3 linked regions of the Caenorhabditis elegans genome follow. The protein of the gene in region 3 purifies or fractionates together with the protein of the main gene of each other region. This does not show direct contact. Each region holds a gene or a part of one and is shown on either strand. Other genes may lie near its edges.

What was found.
Region 1: the proteins of tpa-1 (region 3) and ZK1320.5 fractionate together in Caenorhabditis elegans (co-fractionation; one large-scale study listed by BioGRID). This does not show direct contact.
Region 2: the proteins of tpa-1 (region 3) and nduf-11 fractionate together in Caenorhabditis elegans (co-fractionation; one large-scale study listed by BioGRID). This does not show direct contact.

The regions. Positions count from the first base shown.
Region 1 is NC_003280.10:9,661,466-9,669,272, reverse strand, and holds ZK1320.5 (uncharacterized protein), read left to right. Parts: upstream 1-3,595; 5' UTR 3,596-3,608; coding exon 3,609-3,792; intron 3,793-4,284; coding exon 4,285-4,469; intron 4,470-4,530; coding exon 4,531-4,728; intron 4,729-4,872; coding exon 4,873-4,953; intron 4,954-5,005; coding exon 5,006-5,120; intron 5,121-5,175; coding exon 5,176-5,657; 3' UTR 5,658-5,727; downstream 5,728-7,807. Other genes in the region: ZK1320.11 (BTB domain-containing protein), read right to left, coding at 753-993, 1,037-1,296, 1,342-1,480, 1,537-1,649; cyp-13A10 (Putative cytochrome P450 CYP13A10), read left to right, coding at 6,433-6,482, 6,526-6,993, 7,041-7,140, 7,187-7,486, 7,532-7,788.
Region 2 is NC_003280.10:11,342,177-11,349,677, reverse strand, and holds nduf-11 (Complex I-B14.7), read left to right. Parts: upstream 1-4,057; 5' UTR 4,058-4,062; coding exon 4,063-4,145; intron 4,146-4,225; coding exon 4,226-4,346; intron 4,347-4,396; coding exon 4,397-4,613; intron 4,614-4,672; coding exon 4,673-4,810; intron 4,811-4,867; coding exon 4,868-5,095; intron 5,096-5,613; coding exon 5,614-5,810; 3' UTR 5,811-5,957; downstream 5,958-7,501. Other genes in the region: pigm-1 (GPI alpha-1,4-mannosyltransferase I, catalytic subunit), read right to left, coding at 1-353, 405-965, 1,014-1,085, 1,136-1,186; B0491.6 (DNA helicase), read left to right, coding at 1,883-1,913, 1,956-2,879, 2,931-3,203, 3,251-3,325, 3,377-3,505, 3,557-3,624; lgc-20 (Neurotransmitter-gated ion-channel ligand-binding domain-containing protein), read left to right, coding at 6,148-6,247, 7,209-7,321, 7,372-7,452, 7,499-7,501.
Region 3 is NC_003282.8:90,330-98,255, reverse strand, and holds the start of tpa-1 (Protein kinase C-like 1), read right to left. Parts: upstream 6,277-7,926; 5' UTR 6,205-6,276; coding exon 6,179-6,204; intron 5,635-6,178; exon of another isoform or gene 5,605-5,634; intron 5,453-5,604; coding exon 5,346-5,452; intron 4,572-5,345; coding exon 4,426-4,571; intron 1-4,425. UniProt on the Caenorhabditis elegans protein: Diacylglycerol (DAG)-dependent serine/threonine-protein kinase that phosphorylates a range of cellular proteins. Phosphorylates mlk-1, a component of the JNK pathway. Involved in axon regeneration after injury probably by activating the JNK pathway.

The sequences.
Region 1 (7,807 bases), on a different chromosome or scaffold from region 3:
TAAAAACGTTGATGTAAATTTATAGAGAAAAACAAAGCGCCTGCTAAAAATTCGCATTAAAAAATCAATGTATATTTACGATAAACAAGACGAGCAAGTGTTATTACGGAGTGTTGTTTGTGTACTCCTCTCGGAAAATGTATGTATCTTATCCAGCCACTCTCTCTCGACACAACATTTAAAAAATAATTTCTGCAGGAATCTGGAGAAAACTATGACTCTATTACGGGAACAAAAAATTCTGATAATGCCTGCTGCGCAACATATTTGACGCGAAAAGTAAATCGTAGCGAAAACTACAGTAATTCTTTAAATGACTACTGTAGCGCTTTTGTCGATTTAAACAAAAGAAAATGAAATATCACTATCACAATTCGAAAATAAAAGCATTTCAATAATCGAGCCAGTTAATCGACAGTGTGAATTCGACACAAGCGCTACAGTAGTAGTAATTTAAAGAATTACTGTCGTTTTCGCTACGAGATATTTTGAGCGTCAAATATGTTGCGCCATACGCATTCAGACATTTTTCTTCACGTATGAGAATTCCGGTCGGCAGGAGTTCAATTCTTAATCAGATCTGTGATGTAAGATAATACATCAAGAAGAAACATTTTATTATGTCATCGAACTATTCACATCTCGAATCGTATTCCCTACATAAGGGGTCTCGCCGCAACAGAAACAAATTTTAAGAAAAAAAAAACTCCCAAATAAACAAAGCAGAAACGAAAATTACAGAGAATAATTTATTACAGAGAAGAAGAAAAGGCAATACGCGAGTAGTCATATGAATAGTTTCCGATCTTTCGCGTGTCTTTCTTGACATCGCGGAGTGTCACCGATGTCATGATCTTCAGCTCGGCTTCAATGAGAACTAAATCTGCTTTGTCAAAGATGGCGGCCATCTCGTTGATTGAATCCAGTGTCGCTTCTCTGCCTTCCTTCGTCATACATGAGTCATAGTAATTCTCATAGTAATTCGGATCCGACCTAAATCAAAAGATAAATAATATTCATGCTAAAGTAGACTTACTTTTCTGCTTTCATCCAGATATCTATAACCTGAACCGCCTGCTTGCTGCTCAGTCCGAAACAAATGACCTCCATCAAACTGCTCTTTGCTTTGTTCGATTTGATAAGAATTCCAAAGTGCTTCAAAAAGAACTCCACCACGCAGATCGAAGCAGCTCCCCGCGCTTTTATTTCAAATTGATCAATGTCTGGTGGGCTCATGTTTGAAAACTCCCTCGCCTCCGTGATGAATTTTTCGAAGTTTTCTTCCTCGTGAGCAGCCTATAATTGAAACTTTTGTGAGGGAATTAATTAAGAAAAAATTACCTCGGTCTGCCAACCTTCTAAGTCGTCTATATGTACGCCGCTCTTGAAGATGCTGACCACTTCGTCTAATTTATCATTGGGAATCATGATTTCAATTCCATCAACAACAATCATTTTTTTTCGACATGTCTGCGGAACTCTGAAAAATGGAAATTATGATATTATCAAATTTTAAAACTGACTCATGAAACGTGCCTTTTCTTTGACATGATTAATATTATAATTGATAAATATTTAATATAAAACGGACAAATAGAAAAAGAAAGCACTATTTTCGAAAAATTCGCATTAAATAAATCAATGAGCATTTACGATAAACAAGGAGTGCTAGTGTTATTACAGAGTGTCGTATGTGCACTCCTCTCGGAATAACTCTGCGTATCTCACCCAGTCACAGTCTCTCGACACATCTGGTGAAACACATTCCTGCAGCTGTAGGAATCTGAAAAAACTGTGACTCTAATTAATCGAGAACCTGAAAATGTGTAAAATCCAAAACCGAGAACAAATTATAGACTTTAATGCTATTTCAGAAACACGATTTTCAGACATTTTTCTTCACGTGTACCACCTGCTCGGCGAGCTTAGACTTCCGGTTGACAGGAGTTCTTAATAAGATTTTTGATGTTTGATAAAACATAATAATGAAACGTTTAATTATGTCATTGAATTACTCACACTCGACATATCGTTTTCCCTAAAGGCGCACAGATCTTTGACAAATCACCAAAATGCATACCTATGCATCCACCTATACCACCTACCTACTACCAAATTGAACAAGAACATTCTTTTTAAATATAAGTCTACACTGATAGTGAGCCAGAAAATCACATGAATAGACGTATGCAAAAGCTTATGGCGTAAGAAAGACAAATGAGACTTAGGAAAGGGGAAGGTCTGCCTACCTTCCTGCTGATAGATTTAGATTAGGGTCATCTGCTTTGACAACTGTAACTTTTATCACATGGTATATCCTTTCCTTATAGCATCTGCCAAATTGATTCGGCTTGCTAGTTCTGTCAGAAAACCTCATCCATTACTCACATTTTTTCACAGCTCTTCATTTTTACGTCGTCATTAGGCAGGCTCGTCTGTCTATTCTTACTTCGCATCTAACCAATTACCGCTCTGTGCCCTTGAGAGCAACTTGAAAGAAACGCAGAGAAGCACGGGCTTGACAACACGCTCAAATCTCACACATAGTTTTGTCTATGCAGCAGTCACCCTCCCATGCATGTATATATCAAACCACCCATTATCACTTTTTGACCATCAGATGTTTCAATTCTTGCATTGTTTTATTCTTGAGTTGAACAATCTGACCCAAGGTTCCGTGTCTCCATGTGAGCATGGCAACCAAAGTAAATCAGCACTTTTACACCTGCCTACAATCACTTTCGATTAGCCTTCACTGTCGATAGACGGGGAAATGACGAGTGAATCAAAGAGTTGTTCTTATATCAACTAGAGAAAGTTTCTCCATTTTTGTATAATCCTTGAATTCTAGACTCGAGCCCACCTTTTTGAACCTTTGAGCCAGACGAAATGGCAATATTTACAAAATCTCATAAGTCTCATCGTTGTGTCGAAGTTTTATTCTGGAAATTTATACAGAAATATATAAAACTATTTATTTGTGCTTTATAAAGATATCTCACTTCTTATTAATAGATTTAAAAAAGCGGCTCAAAAGCTGACTCTAAGGTGCTATAGGCACATAGCGATTTTAATAGTAGATTTTGGCCAAATTTTTGAAATTTTTGATAAAAAGTAACTATTATTTCTTTATATTTCTGTATAAATTTCCGAGAAAAAACTTCGACACAGCATATTCTCATTTAAAAGTTCCCTAAAATAGTGCTCATCAATGTGCATCGATTTATCTATGTATATACCTTCTTGTTATACATCTCATTATATTCAGAGAACATAACGCTAATAAATAACAATCTACGTATCGCCAACTCGATTTCCTGTGGGACTTGATTGTTTTCATGTTTTTCTTCATTTTTGGGCCCACATCAAATTCCTTCTTCTACTCTCAATATACCTATCATACACAGTTTATATAACTAAAAAAAGTAGTCTGTGAATAGAAAACTATTATATAAAACTAGGCAGGTGATTTTTGAGAGGTTTTAATTTAGGTTTCTCTATGTTACAAAGACACACATATCCTCCCCCTCCAAATTCAATTATTTTTTCCTTTCTTTTCTTCTCACTTCTGCATATTTTTCTTTCATTTAATCAGCATTCCAGGCGCCATGGTTCTTGAAATTGTGTTTTTTACCTCGTGTCTGATCCTTTCGGTTGTCGGAGTTTACCTCAATCTGTGCTACCTCAGAGCCACACATCGATCTACGGTCTATCCAAAGTTTACCGGAAATAATTTACGGTTTTTGTCCGTTGCTCATATTGTGCTGGCTTGTTCAAATGTTGTGGCCGCTGGTGAGTTTATATAGGCACAAAATGAAGACCCACTTGCCTACAGAAATGGGATTTCTTGCTCGAGTATAACTGTAAACGATATCTTTTTGTCAAACTTTAGCCCAAAAAATCTTCACTTGTATCAAAACTTTGGCAAGTTCAGGAAGTGTAATGCAATTAGTCCAAGTTAGATCCAACTCTTGCCAATGTAGTCCGAGGTTTGGCAAAAGTTAGATTATACTTGAGACGTGTCCTTTACTAACCTCAACTTTTGTCAAAATTTTGCCAAAGATAAAGCCGTGTTAATATTTTTTGGCAAAACCTATCTAGTAAGACAAGAAGCTGGCTCACAACGCCGAGTTGGTCACGCACTTGTCGTAGGTACACAATTATATGTATGCACACTTGTTTGCTATGTGCATTTCACAATTTTGATGATAATACGGATATATTTTGATCTTTAAACCTTGAAACTAATATTTCTGATTATTTTTCTAAAATAAACCTTTCCAGCTGCAATGTGGGGTGCCAACGTGAATCGCACGACAAAATCCGAAGCCTTCTTCTCGACAACTCTATCAGTCAGCCGTGCTATTCCAGCACTCACTGTGTTTTGGACAACTGTTGAACGGATAACGTACAATCGGAGTCCAACGATTCGAGAAAGTCCCAAGTTTCGATATGTGGCAGTTTTCCGGGTGGGTATCAATATTTTTATTACAATAAATATTAAATACAAATACTAAATACCTTTTATAGGTCATCGAAGTAGTGGTCTCCGTAATTATGGAGATGATTATTCGAGGAATCTATTTGAATAGTGATGATCAACTCAAAGAAGCTGCTGGACTTGAAGTTCTTCAATCTTCAAATGATGAAATTTCAATCAAAAGTTCACTCATCGCGAATGTATACTACGACTTCTATCACGGAATATTGTTTTTGCCATGTATTATAGTAAGTATCCTGTTTTGGCTAGTTTATATATTCAACAGAAAATAAAAATCCTATGTTTAGTTCCCTTAGAAAAAGTCTCACGCATGTGACGCAATTTCAACAAAACTTAAATAAACATATTATAATTATTATTTTGAATTTCAGATCTCGGTTCTCATGTTCAAATCGGCAAAAGGTTCTCACACTCGTGCCTGCCTACTCGGTGGAATGAGAAATGACCAGAAAGTGAGTTTTTTGAGGATTTATATTCTAGTTTTACATTTGACATCAATTTTAGATCCAAAATCTCAGTGGACAAATGACGTTTTTCAAAAATTCCTACATCATGCTGTACATCGCTTGTTTGGCCGACTTCATCTTGCATGTAATTGTCAAGAGATTTATAAATCTAGGTGAGTTTAATATGAAATAAAGATCAGAATAGTCTGAAAACTAAACTTCTTTCAGAAGATTCCACGCTTGATATGATGTACATCAATGCTCGATGCTTTCTTCCAATTGTTTACCCATTATCACTAATCGCTAACAACAAAAATCTCCGAATCGACTATTTCGGAAACTTCATTCTCTGTCGAAAAGCCAGAAATCTGCATAAAGAGTCCAAAGTCAAGGTCATTGCAACACGAGAATCACAAGAATCCATCATTGCCAACTTGAAAATGATCGGAATTCTCAGTGACGTGGATACCTCTCAGGGTGGCGCTGGTGCTGCAAGCCTCGCAATGATGGGAATGGGCGGAGGAGGTGCTCCAAGACCTCCCAGTGGAGGTCGAATGGCTTCTATATCCAAAGATCCTAATTCAATTACGTCTTCCGGAAGTCTAGCTAAGCAAAGTACAGCTTCAATGGGCAGTGGTGGAGCTTCGGGTATGATGATGTTCCACACGAGGCCTAAAAGTTCGGTACCATCGATGGGATCTGTTGGGTGATCAACATATAGATACTATGTATTTTAATTATTCGTTCATCGGCAATTCTAATAAATGTTATCTTTTTGAGTTTAAGTTTTTCCTGTCTATACATTCCTGTACCATATGATAGTGAGACATGTCTATATAAATGTCTGACTAGATCTCGTGAATGAATAACAAAAAGTTGGTTATTGGCCATCTATCATAACAAAATAGCAAAGTTAATCAAATAATTGAAACAGATCAGAGCACAATTTGTGTTAAATATCAACAGCAGGGTTAGGTAAAACTTTCGGGTTAGGAATACATTAATATCTAGTCATTTCAACCACATTTTTATATACATATGAAAGTACGTTTGAAAATTTGCTGACTTATTGTAAGATGTGCTTGTTATTTTATCAAAAATACTTGATTTTTTCTGGTTTCCACTAGATTTGACTTTCTTGCGCAATATGACACAAAGCCTTGCCCACAAAAATGCCTGGCAATGTTACTTCCAGAGTTGCTAAACTAAATTAAGTTAATCGGTGATTTCTTCAAATCTGCAGACCAAACTCCAGAAACTGGCTACAGGATAGACTAGAGTTAGTGGTCTTGATATCATCATTGTAATCCAATTACTCACTGATTCTGCGCAAGGAGTCACAAAATCGTCGAGACGGAGACACAAAAAGTGTGTCAGATAGTTGCCGTTTTTGTGTCCGATTTCTTGTAAATATAAAAACAAATTTTATTTTTGGAAATATTTGTTTAAAATATACAGACTTCGTTTACAAGAAAATACAACTAAATGAGTGTTATTTTACTTGCTATTCCAACTTTGTTCATTGGTTTTATCAGGTATTTTTTATTTATTTCTCAAAGCTAAATATATTTATTTAAGTTACTACCTCTGGATATGGACATATTGGAGACGGCGTGGTATCCCTGGACCTCTAGGTTATCCATTAGTTGGAAGTTTTCCAAAAACTCTCAAATCAGAATATCCTCAATACTTACAAATCAGAGATTGGACAAAACTTTATGGTCCAATATATGGATACACTGAAGGAACCATTAAAACTCTAATTGTTTCTGATATCGACATTGTTCGTCAAATTTTTGTTGAGCAGTATGACAACTTCTATGGTAGAAAACTGAATCCAATTCAAGGTGATCCGGAAAAAGACGAGAGAACTAACTTGTTCTCGGCTCAAGGATTTAGATGGAAAAGGCTCAGAGCTATATCTAGTCCTACTTTTTCGAATAACAGTTTGAGAAAAATCAATGTAACTGTGGAAGACAGTGCGATGGAATTATTGAGACATATTGAAGAACAAACTTCGGAGGGACAACAAATTGATATGTTACAGTGAGTTTTCGATGTATTGGAAAAGTAATTTAAATTTTAAATTACAGATTCTACCAAGAGTTCACAATGGATACTATAGGACGAATTGCAATGGGTCAGACCGACTCGCAAATGTTCAAAAATCCACTTTTGAAGTTTGTCAGAGCGGTTCGTTTTGGTACTATTACCAGTGAAATTCAACATATATTTCCAGATATTCGGAGATAATCGAAAGCATATTCCCCTCATCGGTGGAGTTTTTCCTACTCTTGCTCAAGTTTTTCGATTTTTTATGTTGAAATTTCCATTGTTGGGAGCAGCCAATTTCATTCACGTCAACAAAACTGTTGTGACAGCCGTTCAAAATCGTATAGATCAGAGGGAGAATGATAGAAAAAATGGAATTGAAATCGGAGAGCCACAGGATTTTATCGATTTATTTTTGGAAGCAAGAGCAGATGATGTGGAGCATTTTCAAGAGAATAATGGGGATTTTTCAAAGACTAGTAGCTATGTGAGTTTCAGGAGAAAAATTATTCCTGAATTTAAAAAATTGCAGGGAAACCGTCAACTAACAACTCAAGAAATAGTCGGTCAGTGTCTCGTTTTTTTGATTGCTGGCTTCGATACAACTGCTCTATCCTTATCCTATACTACATTTCTCCTAGCAACACATCCAGAAGTTCAAAAGAAATTACAAGAAGAAATAGAACGAGAATGCATAGAACCATCAATTTCATTTGATCATCTCTCAAAACTAAAATACATGGATTGTATTATCAAAGAGACTTTACGTTTGTACCCTTTGGGAACAATGTAGGAGTTTTAAATTTAT
Region 2 (7,501 bases), on a different chromosome or scaffold from region 3:
TTATGAGCGAGTAAAGGTAGAAGAACAATGTACCAGACAAAGTACTGACTTGTGCACACTTTGTTATATGTAACAAATGCGAAGGTGGTGATAAACCAGCAGAAGGGAAGATCATCGTAATGCTTGAAGGCGAAGAACACGATCAGCACAATTTGTGGAATGAATGCTCCGAGGCCGATGATCTGTGACATTGTCGGATTCGCTTCATACAGGTACAATAGGTAGAAGTACGGCGAGAAGTTATGGGCGAGATCTCTTCTTTTGACGTGGTAGATCAGATATTCATCGAGGAATAGTTGTCCGTAGATTTGGAAGAAGAATAGTACCACCGCTGCGAATGATGTGAGAGTTACCTAAATCTTTTTAACATTGAGAATTCCATGTTTTTAAGAAAAATAACTTACCAGCATATATGCGAAGCCTTTCCAGTTAGAAACCAAACTTTTAAACTTGTTCACAACACAACTTTGTTCTCCAATTGTTGAAAGACTCAGAAAAACTGATGGGAGATAAATCAATGGATAAATCTTCAATTGGATCGCAAGGGCGCCGTGAACTAGAGCTGCAGATTTCCAGTATCCTTTTTGAAGTAGCACAATATTCAGAAGCACGACTGCAGCAACAATAGATTCTGCATTTCCTCTGGCTGAGATGATAGCGGTCAGTGGATTCGCAAGCCAGTAAATCACGACATTCATTGTTTGATCATCTTTCATTTCTTCTCGTGTTTCGCTTTTTGTTTCGTTTAAATCTTTCTCCATTATTTTAAAATACAGAATCGCCACCAGGATGTCGAAAATGCAGAAGAGAATCTTTCCAAAGTCCGGGAAATGCACAACAGGCAAAAGAATCCATGCTAGCGCAGGCGTATATCGGTAAGTGGCTCTGTCGAATGGGCTTCCACCGTTTGAGACATGTTTGGCAGCGTCGGAGAACACGTGATAGTCGATGTCTGTGAAATTCACCTGAAACACTGAGTTTAAACTTATTTTGATGATGTAAAATTATCAAACCTTGAATAGATAATCGTGAATGTGTGCGTAGAAAACGAGAATTATCCTTGCCACGAATGCCACTAGTAAAATCTGGAAGAACATCATTAATTCGATGAATTCGTTGAAAATAGACAAATTACCTTATTTCGATTGAACGTTTCGTTCTTCACAAAACTCCGGACACATTGCATTTGTGGAGAAAACTGGAATATATTCGAATATATAAATGCTAAAAACCAACAAAGAATTTGTTAAAAATTGAAAAATGCAAGTGTGCTCTAGCGCAAATTTTCAACGGAGGGAACTTGAAAATTAGTTATTTTCGGGCAAACTTGTCGCAATTTTAATTGCTTCTTTCTTTCTTTAGATATCTCGCTTTTATTCATTTTTTACTAATCTTATATGTTTTGAAAGAATTATTTGTTAATCTTCATTATGTTTTCCCGGAAAAAATTAGCAAGAATCGAGTAAAACGGGTCTAAAAACGCGCTGCATATTACATGTAATCCTATTCTAGACAAACAAGTCATGCGTTTTCTTGTTATTCCCAATTTTGCAACAAGACGCAGAGACAAATTTCAAAATCATCAAAAGTCCAATAAAAGAATGCTTCCTTGCCCCGGAGACGCAGAGAATTTTCTGGCCGCTTTCGTTATTTCGTCTCTGTCTCTTTGTCCCGCGTGCTCTTTCTCGTGAATATAATCTGCGACTCTAGTAATTTTAGCACTATCTCTCATGTTCGTTTCGATTTTTGCGCCACATTCGACTTCATTTTTCGTTTTCCAAAACTTCTTTCAAAACAACTTTTTCGCATTAATTTGTTGTCTTCCTCACTCTTTTGAATTCAAAAACGAAAATTTTAAACCACCGATTGCAATTGTTACGAGATGCAAAAACCCGACGAATCGAATGAAAAACGTAAGAACAATTCAAATTATATTTTAAAATAATTATTATTAGTTTCAGATGATATTCCTTGCACATCAGCAAGCCTTCTCGACCATTTGATTCAGAAGGAAGCTTCTGCAGCAGAGGACACTGATCCCTTGGATCATATTGGCAATATAGGAGAAGCTATCATTGGACAATTTTCGTCTGGAGCAGATGTTGGAACCGAAATTCTACAAAATGCTCTCAAAATGTTCGATCAAGCAATGGCCTACACGAATCCACAGGCTCCACCAAAACGAAAATATAAACGAAAAGAAGCTCCGATAGAGGATGCTCAACCTACCACGACTTCATCAGCTACGCTAGCTTCCTTGCTCACTCTCAATCCGGTTCCAATTGAATCTAGTGCGAAAAGATTCCATCAAAATGATCTACGAGCTGGTTTTTCGCCACGTACCAAGTTCGACGTGGATTGTTCGGATTTCTTTCTTCTACAAGGATCTGATGCTGACACTCAATTCAATAATCTCCACAAGAAGCTCGAGAAGGAGAGAACGCAGATGTTTGATGATCAAGTTTCGAAAGATGTTGAACGACTTCTAAATACCGCAAACAGAGTTCACGGTCCCCGAGAATGGACTGCCGAGGAGAAAGCCGAATTCACTTCATACTGTAGAAGCTGGCGCAGTGGAGCATTAGGGGCCGATGACAAGCTGAATCTTCAGAAATTTTATTCAAAAGCGTACGGAAAAGTTTTCCAAGGACTGAGCGAAAATAAAGCTTCATCGGAGGAATCAGCTATCGATTTTTCTAATTTCATGGGTGTCGGTAGTGAAGATCCTGCTAATCAAACAGAAGACGTACCAGGTGGAAGCTGCAAGGCTTCTCCCGACAATTTCTCATTCTCTACTTTGAATCCAAGAATGAAATACGAGAAAGAGAAAGAATTTCGGTCCGCTATCAATAATATATTCACGGAAGTTTTCAAAGAATGTAAGTGAATATTGTAAAAGTTTTTATTCAAACAAAATTCTTTATTTTCAGTTCACTCAAAGAAGCAATTCATTCCCAAACCAACTCGCCTGGACGTTCCGCCGTGCGAAATCGAGCGGGAGCATTTATCAATGCTGATGTCAAAGTTCAGTATAGCTATGGACGATCCAGAAAAGGAATGGAATGTTGATGAGCTTCAGGAACTGCGTCGATTCTATACATTATTTCGAGAAAAAAATCATTTGCCATTCGTTCAAACTAAGGAATTCGGAAAATTTCTGCGTAAAGCATTTGGAAGACTAGAGCATTATGAGCTTCAACGAGGTTTTGCAATTAATTTATGGAACTTATATGATTGTTAGTTATTTCAGAAAATGACACTTCTCTTCAAGAAAAACGAAAATTTTGGCAAGAATACAGGAAAACGCATGTACCACCGAAAAGAGGTGATTTCTAAAATAAATTTTCACATTTTATCCCAATTTCGTACATTTCAGAGCGAAAAGCGTGCGCGGCTAGAACCACACCAGTAAGACCTTATATAAAATCGAATATTGATACAAAAGGAGAAACTGAAGAAGAGAGAAGATTGCGGAGAGCTGCGTATCTTCGAAAGTGGAGGCTAGGTAATATAACATTTTTGTAATAATACATTTAACAAATTATCGATTTTTCAGCTCAAAAAGAGAAGCATTCAGCAGACGTCATGTCACAGTTCAAGCACCAGGAAGATGTCGCCTTGTGATTTCTTTGTTTAATATTAATCAACTTTTTGTTCGCATCTCAGGAAATGTTCTTTGAAAAATAATTTGTTAGATAAAATTTATTTTAATCCGAATAAATATTTTATAATCTTTTTACTTATAGTTAATACAAAATTATAAACTCTAAGAGCTTTCAAAAAGCAAAAACCGCAAAATTAAATGCAAAAAGAAATTACAAATAAATCGTTTTTGAAAATCCGCGCAAGGACGAAGTATGCGCTAACATATGATTGTTGGCGCGTTTCTCATTCCTTGCGCGTTTCCCGTCTCGGCCGATTAATTTTTCAGTGTATTTTTTTCTGTTTTTGTTTATTTTATCCGCATTTGAATACATATTTTTGGCTTATCTTCTTTGGAATTTTTTGAAAGTATCTATGAACAATTTTTTATTGTTATTTATCAATCGATTTTCAGGTAAAATGGGCCACGGAGAAGAACCATTGACCGCCACGTATAAAACGCAGAGACCTCCATGGATCGGTCTTTGGAGTGATCGTGAATAGTAAGCTTTATTCTTTTTCTACTTTTGAAATTAAATCTAATTCAATAAAATATTTTAAAATGGTAAAATTTGTAATTCAGCAAGGGACGTGCCGACTGGTGGAAGGAGCCAGGACTTGAAGACTCTGTCACGCGTTCTGGAAAACTTCGTCTTTATCGTGCTCGTTTCCGTGAGGAAGATCCAGATTGGTATGATCCAAAGGTACAGTTAATTTATTTTGAGTGATATTCGCTAATTTTTTGCGTTTTCAGGTAAAAGACGGAGAATCCCTGGCCGGACCTTTCGGACTCGATTCCAAGAAGACCAAAAATCTCACCAAAAAAGGAGATCAGCCAGGAGAGCTGTCCGAATTCCAGAACAAAGTTTACGAAGGATCCCACCAGTTTAAGGCTATCGCTGAAAAGTTTGGAATCAGCAAAGAGCATCCAGGACTATCCGTTAGTCCAACCTTGAGCGATAATATGCTAAGTGAGGAATAATTAAAATTTTATTATAAGTATCCTGCTACAAAACTTTTTTATTTCCAGCTCCAAAGGACGAGTTAGGCAGAAACGCCGTGTTGCCAAACTCTTGGTATCCTGCCGGACCCCGTTTCTTCGACAGTCCACTCAATGAGGGATCTTTCTGGAAAGGACTTGCCGCCGCCAAGTATGCTGGAATTTTGTGTAAGACTAGATTAAGATTTAAAAAATGTTCACGATAATCATAAAACATAATTTCAGTGGCTCCATACACTATGCTGGAAATCCGTGCACTCAATACAGTCTCGGTATCCGAATTCTCGCCAAGAACCTATATGAAGAGATACCTCCAACTCGCTCCATTCCCATTGGCCGTTGCATTCGCCTGGGGCTTCAGTCTTTCAGCAGCCTCATCGATCCGTCATAAGGATGATGTCCATAATCATTGGTTCGCTAGTGTTGCTGTTGGATCAACCGTGGCTACCATGAGTATGTTTTGTTAAAAATTGTAAGCCAATTTGGCGAAATGATCAAAAAACGTGGTTTTCAGAGCGTAGAAAAAAATTTTAATTCTATTTAAATGATTTCTTATGTGTTTTCATCAGATTTTCTGTTAAATTCGAAGAAAATCACATGGAAAAAATTTAAAACAGAAACTAATATATTTTCGTAATTTTCCAAAATAGAAAAAAATCAATTCAAAAAATTATCTTTCATGGTAGCAGCCACATTATCATTGTATCTCATAATCAATTAGTTCTGATTCTGTCCGAAAAAATATTTTGTTCGAAATATTTTAATAAAAATTAGTCTGAAAATAATAAAAATTCGGCTTAAAATATGAATATTTATTTTTAAAATTTAACAAAATTCTCTGTAAATCTGGCAAAACTTGTACATTTTTATTTTTTAACAAATAAAAAATCTAGACACAAAATCAAAATCTGATTGTCCTGGTTAATTCCTGAAAAATTTAATTTTTCGTTTCAAAACCACTATTTTTCCAGAGAGCAACGTTGCCCTTGGAACCACTGCCGCCATCTTCACCGCCATCCTCGGAGCATTCTGGCAGTATCAACGACACTCGGAGACTGGACTCCAAGGAATGACTGCTCATCCACAATCTGCCGGAATCTGGGGAGGACCACTTCTTTGGCAGAAGATGCAACTTGGAAATGCCGATGTTCCGACCACACGATACTGATTGGATTTTTGAATTTTTTCTAGCTTCGATTCTACAATCATGTATAAGATTTTTAGTTTTCGAGAAAGAAGCATATAGCACTCAAACTTTAATTTTTTTTTTCTTCTTTTCTGCTCTTTTCCGAATAAAATCAGCGGTCATAGCATGAAAATAGTGTCTGTGAGTCGAGACACCGGGGGAACAACAACACAACGAATCGATTGTTTCACACGCTGGCTCCCCACCCCGCTCCGTTGTCCTGGTAACAACAAGAAGCGGGCGGTTCTTAAGAAGGGATACGCGTAGCAGCACACATACATACAAACTCGCATAACTTATTCCCTCTTGCTGGTCAAAAATGTCGTTTCTTGTGCTCTTTGGAGCACTTCTTCTCATTCAGACTTCTGAGCAGATGGTTCAATGCAGGTACACGAAGAATTTGACAAATCGAGCAGATGGTGAGTTTGGAAATTCCGAAATACTTTTTTTTTAATGGTTTTGGAAGGAATAACGTTGCCCACGTAACTCTCGGAAGTGAAAATTCAAATTAAAAAAATTTGCGAATTCTTTTCTTTTTTTGCATTTTGAAAACTGCGAAATTTAGCGATTATTATCGCAAAAATACGATACCCGGTCTCATCACGACAAATTTGTGTTAAATGCAGAAAAGGTGTGCGCCTTCAAAGAGTACTGTAGTACTGTAGTTTCAAACTTTCGTTTCTGCGCAATATTAATCGACTTTTGATAGAATTTCGATACTTAAAAATGCACTTTTTTATTAAATAAATTTCAAAATCTAGAGAAAATCTATGAAAAATCCGGCAGTAGCAAGAGTTTGAAGTTACAGTACTCTTTAAAGGCGCGCACCTTTTCTCAATTAACACAAATTTGCCGTGTCAAGACCGGGTACCGTATAGTTTTCTTACAATTAATTGAAAAACTGAAATAAAATACATGACTTTTTTTTTAACCCATGAATAACACAAGAAAACAATGAAGAACTTCGGTATTCTTTAAAGGTGCACATTTCTTAGAATTTTTGAAAATCGTTCGTTTCGAGACCCTCAACCGTACTTTTGGGCAAGCTTCCATCGAACCAAGGAATTACATTTCAAATTTATTTGGAGATCACGATCATTTTCTGTTTACGCATGACTGAGCGCTTTGACTCATTAGTTTTGACGGCTAAAAGTTGATATGTTGATCTTTATATTACGCAGACGTCGGAAGATGATCATTTTTTCCATATTTTTGGGTCTCGCCACGCTGAAAACAAATTACAGTAACTCGGGCCAGGGGCCAAGGGCCGCTTTTGCATGTCATTCTAATTAGAACGTGCGTGGCCGAGTTTCTCTTTTCGCGGGCACCTGGAAAATTTTTTTGGGTGGTCTCACAGCATAACCCAAATCTTTGTTTTAGGAGGAGATGAGCACTGTCTATTCTACTATCTTCTCAACAAGGAATACGAGAAATCTGGCAGCGTACACTCACTAAGCGCATATCCTCCAAATTCCGACGAAATGACGATTACTGTAATTATGATTTTCAGAGGAGACTGAAGTTTAAATATTTATATTTTCAGATAGAAAATGTGCTTGTCAAATACGTGGAATTGGTGAAAGGATCTAGTTATCAATTCAACGTTTTTGGAGATATTTATCTGGTAGATGGGATGACAAAAGTGGGAAATTAAATGCAAAAATTTGCAGAAC
Region 3 (7,926 bases):
ATAACCATAAAATTAACCAAGAAAAGGAGTTTTCAAAATTTGTCGATGCACCATGTTTTAAATTTCTATTCGTTGATAGCTCATACATTGGTTCATGTAGCAATTTGTAAAAATATAAAGAAACATCCAATAGACACATTACCATTTGGCAATTTTTTTTCAAAAACTCGTACTAACTGATTGTGAGATATAAGCCCGAAGCCTAGAAGTTTAAGAAAAATCCCAAAAAAAAATCCGGAGGTGGTTATATTCCGTGATTTGAAAAGGCAGGCAGTCAGTTACACGCCCACAAATACACACAAAAAAGAAAAACGGGGGTTGTTGGAAAAATGGCGAAGGCGAGTATGTTTTTCGAACCGAAATTCAATTTTAACCGCCCGTCTCCATCCTCGTCCTCAGAGCTCTTCTCCTATTCTCCGCCCGTGGTTGTTACCCAATTTATGAGAGAAAAAAGGGACAAAAATTTGTGTATGGAATTTTTTTTTTGGAAATTTGGGTCAAAGTTTGAGCTGTCAGGAGGATTTTTGAAACTTGAATAGAATTTGAGAAATTTTTCTATAGATATGATATTTTACAAGACTTTAAATTGAAATTTTGATGTACAAAAGTTTATTAAAAGCGAAAATTTTTGTTGAAAAATTGAAATTTACCGAAAAAATCTAGAAGCGATATTTAAATTTGAAAATTAAATTTTTTTTTCAAACTAGAAATTGGGAAAAATTTGAATGAAATTTATTTTAATTATGTTTATTTTAAATTTACGAAAACTTTCTTAAAATGAAATTTTTTAGATTCTAATATAGAATTTTTAAAAAAATCGATTTTAGAATTGTTGTAAATTTTAGTTGGAATTATTGATGATTTTCACAATTATATTAGTTTGAAAAATTATGAAAAAATTTGAAAAATCTTATTAAAACTTGGAAGTTACCAAAATCACAGAATTCTGAATTTGAAATTTTTTCACAGCGTAAAATGCGAAAAGTTTCGAAAAAAAAGTTTTCTAAACACTCAAATTTGTTCCTAAAAATTTATGTTTTCAGTCAAACACCAGGTATCACAAAAAACATTGCGTGATAGATGATAATTTAGTGATAAGATGAGAGATATCAAATTTTTTTGTAGAAAACCAAGTCAAAACAGATCACTGAAATTTTTAGAGGATCGGGGGAAAATTGGGAAATTTAAAAATACAAATAAAGTGTCCAAAAATTTCAGTTTTCAAAAAAAAAAAGTCTAGTTTCCAAAAAAGTTTCTAAATGGGAAAAAGCTGTGAAAAACTACCAAAGAGGTGTGCTTCGTCCCTCTGGTAACTATTGTCTTCCGGCGGACCTTGTCATGACGTCACAGGAGTGGAGGGAAATAGACTTTATGTACATGGCCGCGGAAATAAAATAATTCGGCCACCAATTTTTTTTTGCTTAAAAACATAAATCACAGAATTTAGCTAATTCCAATATTGTTTTTTTGATAGGTTTTTATACAAAATTCCAAAATTTCAAAGCTCGAAAAAAACATTTAGAGTATTTTTTTGAAAATTATGCGAATTTATTCTGAATTTTTCTGGAGCATTCTGAAACTTTCCAACAAGTTCTAAAGTATTCTCAAATTTTCTGGAACTGTAAAAATCATTTTAGAAATGTTTGAAAATTTTTTAAATTTTTTTCCAAAAATTGTTAGCTCGAAAAAATGTGATGACGTCACTTTGAGGTAGGCTAATACTACGAACGTTATGGGTTGAAGTGAAGCTGCTCCAAAACTGAGCAAGAAAAATATGGAAAAAATAAAATGAAAACGAGGGGAGAGGGCACCGCCCGAGGCGAATCGGCTCCGCAGGTTTATGAAAATCGCCGCCCCCGTCTTTGTGTTTTTCGAACTTCTCTTGGCCAATTTGTCGTTTTTTCAGGACCAACTTTTTTATATGTTGTTTTTTTTCTAAATAGAGAAGCATAAAAATATCCTTAAAAAAGGAGTGAATGGGGTGAAAAAGTTGAAAAAGAGGAGCTTCCGGAGTTGGGGAGAAGGTCCCATGGGAATAAAGATGCTTGTTTGCACTTTTTTGGAGAAAGATTACAAGTGAAGTAGATAAAAAGCTATTCGGCGAATGAAAAAAAAAGGTTTTAAAAATTGGAATTTTTCTGAAATTCCAAATTTCAGAAACTTTTATAACTTTACATCGTCTAGAAGGTATTCATAAAAATTGAAAAAGGCTTCCTCAAAAATATTCCCAGAAATAGAATGTACGGAAAATATGTTTTTTTTTTGGGTTAAAACGTTTTTTTACAAACTTTAGTATAATCTCTGCGATTTTGGGATACTTTTTGAAAAATGGCAAAGTAAAACTAAGTTATTGGGTACTATCTGTTAATAAAAAAAACAGGACTCAAGGTTTAAAATTTTCACAAAGGAAAAAATTCACAAGTGTAAGAATTTACAGAAGATTTGAATTTTTCTCCAGCTTTCTATTCAGTTTCTGAAAAATCATTGAAAAAATTATATGTAGAAATCACGAGAATTTTCTCTTTTCTGAAAATTATATTATTATAATTATGTAAAATTCGGGAATGTTTTGGAATTTTCACAAATTTTCAGATAATTTTTTTTAATTCTAGGAATTTTTGAAAAATTCTGGAAATTTTCTAAACCGGTCTTATACATTTTGAAATTTTTTAAAAACTATCTTTAATTTTTTTTTTTTGGAATTTTCTAAACCGTTCTATAGAACTTACAAAAAATTTTTTAACTTCTGACCACTCTGAAATTTTCTTAATGCTGCCAGAAAACCATTTTGAAAATCAAAAGCTGTGATAAGCTCCGCCCACAAAATGTGCGTGGCAAACAATCCGAATTTCTTACCTTAATTAGAAGACTAATAGCCTCATAAATATCGTTCAGAACTTCGGTCATTTTTTTAAAGCAATTTTTTCAAAATTTGCTCAACCGACCGAGCTTCGAAAAGAAAACCAGAAATCTAGGAGGCAATGGAGTTTAGGAGCCGAAATTTAGACCACGCCTCTTTGCTCCTGAAGTAGGGGGCTCACATGGGATAATTTGGAATTTTTTATTACCAAATGGGCGATATAGTAGCTGTAATTAGAACAATTTAGTTGGTGTTAGAGAAGTTTGGGGAATTTTAAAAATTTGAATATATATTTTTTTTAAATTTTGATAGGATTTTCTAGAAAATTCAAAGAATAATTTGCAATTCAAACTTCAAATTATTTCGAGTTTACAGTCGAAAAAAATTTTTTAATTTCAATTGACACAGTGCCAAAAATGGCGGGAAAAGTTTTTAAATTCGAAAAAAAAACTAGAAATTTGCTGAATTAAAAAAAAACTACTTTTTTTCTATATTTTTCAGTGTTTTTAAAGGAATTTCCAATGTACTTGGTAAAATCAAACCAAATTTCTCAAAAAAATTTTTTTTGCAAATTTTAATTTTTCAACTAATTTTTTTGAAAGTAAGGAAATACCTTTTTAAATAAAAATTAAAACTTTTATACTTTAAAAATAGCCAAGAAATGAGCGGAGCTTATTTTGAAATTTTGAATTTCTTCTTTAAATAAAATTCTTCTTCAAACTGCATATGCATAGTTGGAATGATTTTCAAAACTCAAAAACAAAAAGAAACTAAACCAGTAAACATTTTTCAAATTTGTTTAGGCACTGCCCCTTTCTTGGCTTTTTTTGGCGGGTTTTTACTTTTTTCTGTAATTTTCTCGTTTTTTTTTGAATTTTAGCAATGAAAATAAAAAAAGTTCATAGCCCAACAAGAAATCTACAAGCGTCATAGTTTCCGTTGGTGATTTTTCAAACAAAAAAAAAATTCCGCCTAAACTTTCAAAAATCAAAAATCTCAACACCGCCATAAAAGTCGAAAAGGAAAGGGTAATAATTCGTCGTTGGTCTCTCATAAAATGTGGTGAAGCCGAATAAATGGCCAAGAGCACCAGCAGCAGATTTTGCTCCGTTAAGAGCCAAGAGCCACTGTGATCTTCTAAGATGTGGTCCCATGGGGCCAACTTCTCATACAAAGCTACGACAATTGCCACGTGGCAAAATGTGCTCATCCACTTTTTTACGTCATATTGGTGAGCCATTTTGTAAGCGGAATATTTTAAGGTACACCTATTCGTGAGTAGAACTTTTTGGGAATTGTTTTCATCCCGTGTTTCCAAAAAAGATATTGCCATGAGAGGTTTTTTCAGAGGTTTTCAGAAAATTTGAGTTTTTTTTTTGGGTTTTTGAGACTCGGCCCAATCTTTGGGTGGGATATAGTTAGTCACTTTTGGTTTTTCTGACACTTTTTTTCAGCAAAATTTCTAAAAACTATTAATAAAAAAATTGGAAATTTTTGAAAAAAAAAACTGAATTATTTTTATTTTTCAATTAAAAATATTCAAAAAAAAAAAAAAAAAAACTAACCTCTAATCGCATAGTTGCTTCGACCACAGGTGTCTGATTAAACATGAGCACAATTTGTAGAATTCGGCCCTCGGCAACTGCGGTATCCCAACATTTTTCCCATTCCGGGTAAAGGGTCTTCTTCTTTTGGACTAGTCGGGATTCACCTGGAAAATGATAAATAATTGAATAAAAATTTATTTGTACACATTGAATTCTGAAAAAAAAAACACTTGGGGTTTGAAAATTATTAAAACTATATTTCCTAAAATTAAAAAAAAACTTCTGATTTTTTTAATTGAAAAAATGTTTCGCAAATCATTTTTTGTTTTAATATTGAACTTAAATTATTTATAGTACCAGCCGGTGTCGTTCGAGCCTACGGCTCGACCTCCTCCGACTGACTCAAACTAAAGTTCGAATATCCCTCGGAATTACTTTTTTGGTTTGAATTTAAATGAATTTGATTTTTTTTTGAAATGAAATTTTAAATTTTACGAAAACTTTCAAACTAACGTGAGTTTTGCGTGTTGGCATAGCCTACATTAGACGGAAGAAAACTCTACTTTATATATAGTAAATGATTTTATTGATTTCTCTCTTTTTTTGCAAAAATTATATCAACTGAGAACAATTAATGTCAATTAAAAAAATCTTATTAATTGATATTAAAAATTTTATGCATTAAAAAATCTGTAAAAAAACCAAGAAATGGGCGGAGTCTCTTTCAACTTTTCAACTTTGATATTAAACAGGCCCCTCCCACTTCTTGACTATTCAGTTTTTTCAGTAGCTTTTCTACAATTATTTTAAAATTCACACGAATCGAATTTTTAAAAAAATATTTTAATTGTTATAAAAATTGTTTTTTAGGTAGAGGTTCCCCTTGAACTTAGATTTTTCGAAATTTTTTTCTTTTTCAAAAAAAGCTAATAACTCACCATTCACTTCAATCTTCTCCTTCACATTAACAGCCGGCTGCAAATCAGTTGCTGAACATCCGGCCGGAAGTAAGTCAACTGGAACGTCCGCTCGAAGAAGCTTCAGCCTGCAAAAAAATGGAAAAATGTTTTTTTGGAAGGCTTCCCTGATGTGGTGTGCACTTTTTCAGAGGACAAAAGGACCGAGAGAGGAGAAAATTTGTGATTTTTTTTGGTTTTAGCTGGGCTGAGCAGAGAGACAAAGGGGGAAGGCACTTACTGCTGCAAAGATTCTGTGGGGGTTTTTTCACTGAAATTTTTTTGTCCAAAGTTTGTAGTTTATAGCCTGTGACGTCACATGTTGACTTTAATTTAGGGAATTCCGGAAGGAAAATTAAACTTTAATTTTAAGAATTTTTGTTGTGGAATTTTTTAAACTTGAAAATTTATTAAATTTAGATTTTAAATTTTACTATAAAATTGTTAATAAATTTTTGGCGGAAAAGCAAATTTGATTTAAAAAAACAAAATTCAAATTTTACTTTTTCAGAAATTTTTATAAGACATTACAAAGTTGAGTATTCTTTAATTTAATTTTTTGCAAAAAAAATGGCCCAAAATTATATTCGTCCATATATCAGAATTATGTGGCTGGAAATCATAATTTTTACTATTTCAAAAAGTTTTGGCGAGGAAAATTCTAATTTGAATTTTTTGAGAACTTTGGCAAGAATCTCAAAATTTTTCAATTTTTCAAAAACATCTCTAGCGGAGAATCAAAATTTGGGTGAAATTGTTTTGTTTCAAACTCAAAATTTGCATAATTATCCATGTGATAATTTTCAATTACTCACCGACACGCATTCTCAGCCTGTGCCATCACGAAGTCCGCTTCCAGTGATGTCTCGCTCTCCGGCGGCGGATCCAAAGAGAAGATGTCGATAGCCTGAAAATTAAAAAAAATAATAAAAGGAGTAAACTCAAAAATAGACTGGTACTAGTTATATCATACATAGATTAATTTGAAAAAAAAGTATTAAAAATTTTTTGGAAACTGCGTAGAAGCCGAAAATAGGCTCCGCCCAATTGTTGGGTGATTTTTTAAAAAGAATCAGATGTTTTTTTAATTTTTTAAATAATTTTTTTTTTATATTCATGACTTCAAAAAATTACAAGGCACCATAGTTTAATTAATAAATTAAAAAAAATTAAATCTAGGCTCCGCCCATTTATTGGTTCAAAATTGTATTTTTCTAAAGCTTATTAAACATTTAAATTATTATTTACAATGCGAAAATCTTGCAATTATCATATTTAGCTTTCTAAATCTCTTCTGCAAAAAAATAAAAAGAGCAATGTGCAGTTGTGGCTGGAGAAGAAACGTCATGTCAGGGGTGAAAAAATGCAAAAAAAAACGAAAAAAAGAGAAAGCGACTCGTTAAATGTATTATCTTCAAATTTCGGCTCTGGTAGAGGGAGGGGAGGGCGGATTCGGGTCATGTCAAAAGTTGGGCGAGAAAAGGCCGCCCGGATTTTGGAAATGTATAAGGGGACCCCCGCACCCTTGAATAAAACACTTGAATTGGGAATTGATGAAAAATTTGGAATTTGATTGACAAAATGAGGTCTAGGTCTAGATGAGGTTTTAATCTTTCAAAGAATAGAGTGTAGAGGAAAAAGTCTACTAATTTTTTTAAATTTTTTTTTACAACTTATTAGTGCATAACTCAAAAACCACTGGTCTTATTAGAAAACTGTCAACTAAGAACATAGTCATCACAACATTTTTAATATTTTGGCAATTGGAAACTTTTTGATAGTAGTGATAAATTTCGAAAAATACAGGATTAATCTGTGTGAAAAATTTTAAAATAATAATTCTGAAAAGTTCTGAAAAAATTTTAGCTAAAGTTTTTAAAGTTTTTAGATCATTTTTTGAATCATTTCTAAAATAATTTGTTATTCAATTTCTTCCATAATTTTACGATGACAAAACGGAATTTTTTTTCAAAACTTTTTAAAATAAAATTCTGGAAACTGGAATAAATTTATGTTTTGAAGTTTTAAAAAATTTTTTCTTTTTCAGCAAAAAAAAATTGCAGGTTAGTTTTGTTCCTATTTTTTTTTCCAAAAAAAAATCCTGCTCAAAATTTCAAAAAAAAAATGTTTAAGCTCTTCCTGAAACCACGTAGGTACAAATAAGAAAATAGGAGGTTCCAATTTCAAGGTAGGCAGATAAGTAGTTTGAAAGGCGAGTCTATAATTAAATGGGCTCAATCGAATTGGGCTCGGAGGAGCCGAAATGTAGAGTAGAAACAAGGAAAAATACTCACTTTGCAATTTCAATACTGAAGTTTAGAGCAATAAATACAAAACATTGAGCACGGCATACAAGAACGAAAAAAATCCCGATAAAAACTAGAAAAATTTGTGAAGGAACCAAGAAGTTGGCGGAGCCTATTTTAGGGAAAATTTAAAAAAATTTACAATTAGTTTACGATTGGTTTTTTAGAATCTCTTGGTTTTTTTTTTCAAAATTTTGTATACTGGAAATCTAACCGCGCAAAATCAGAAAATTTCAAAAATATATAAAAGTTCAGGT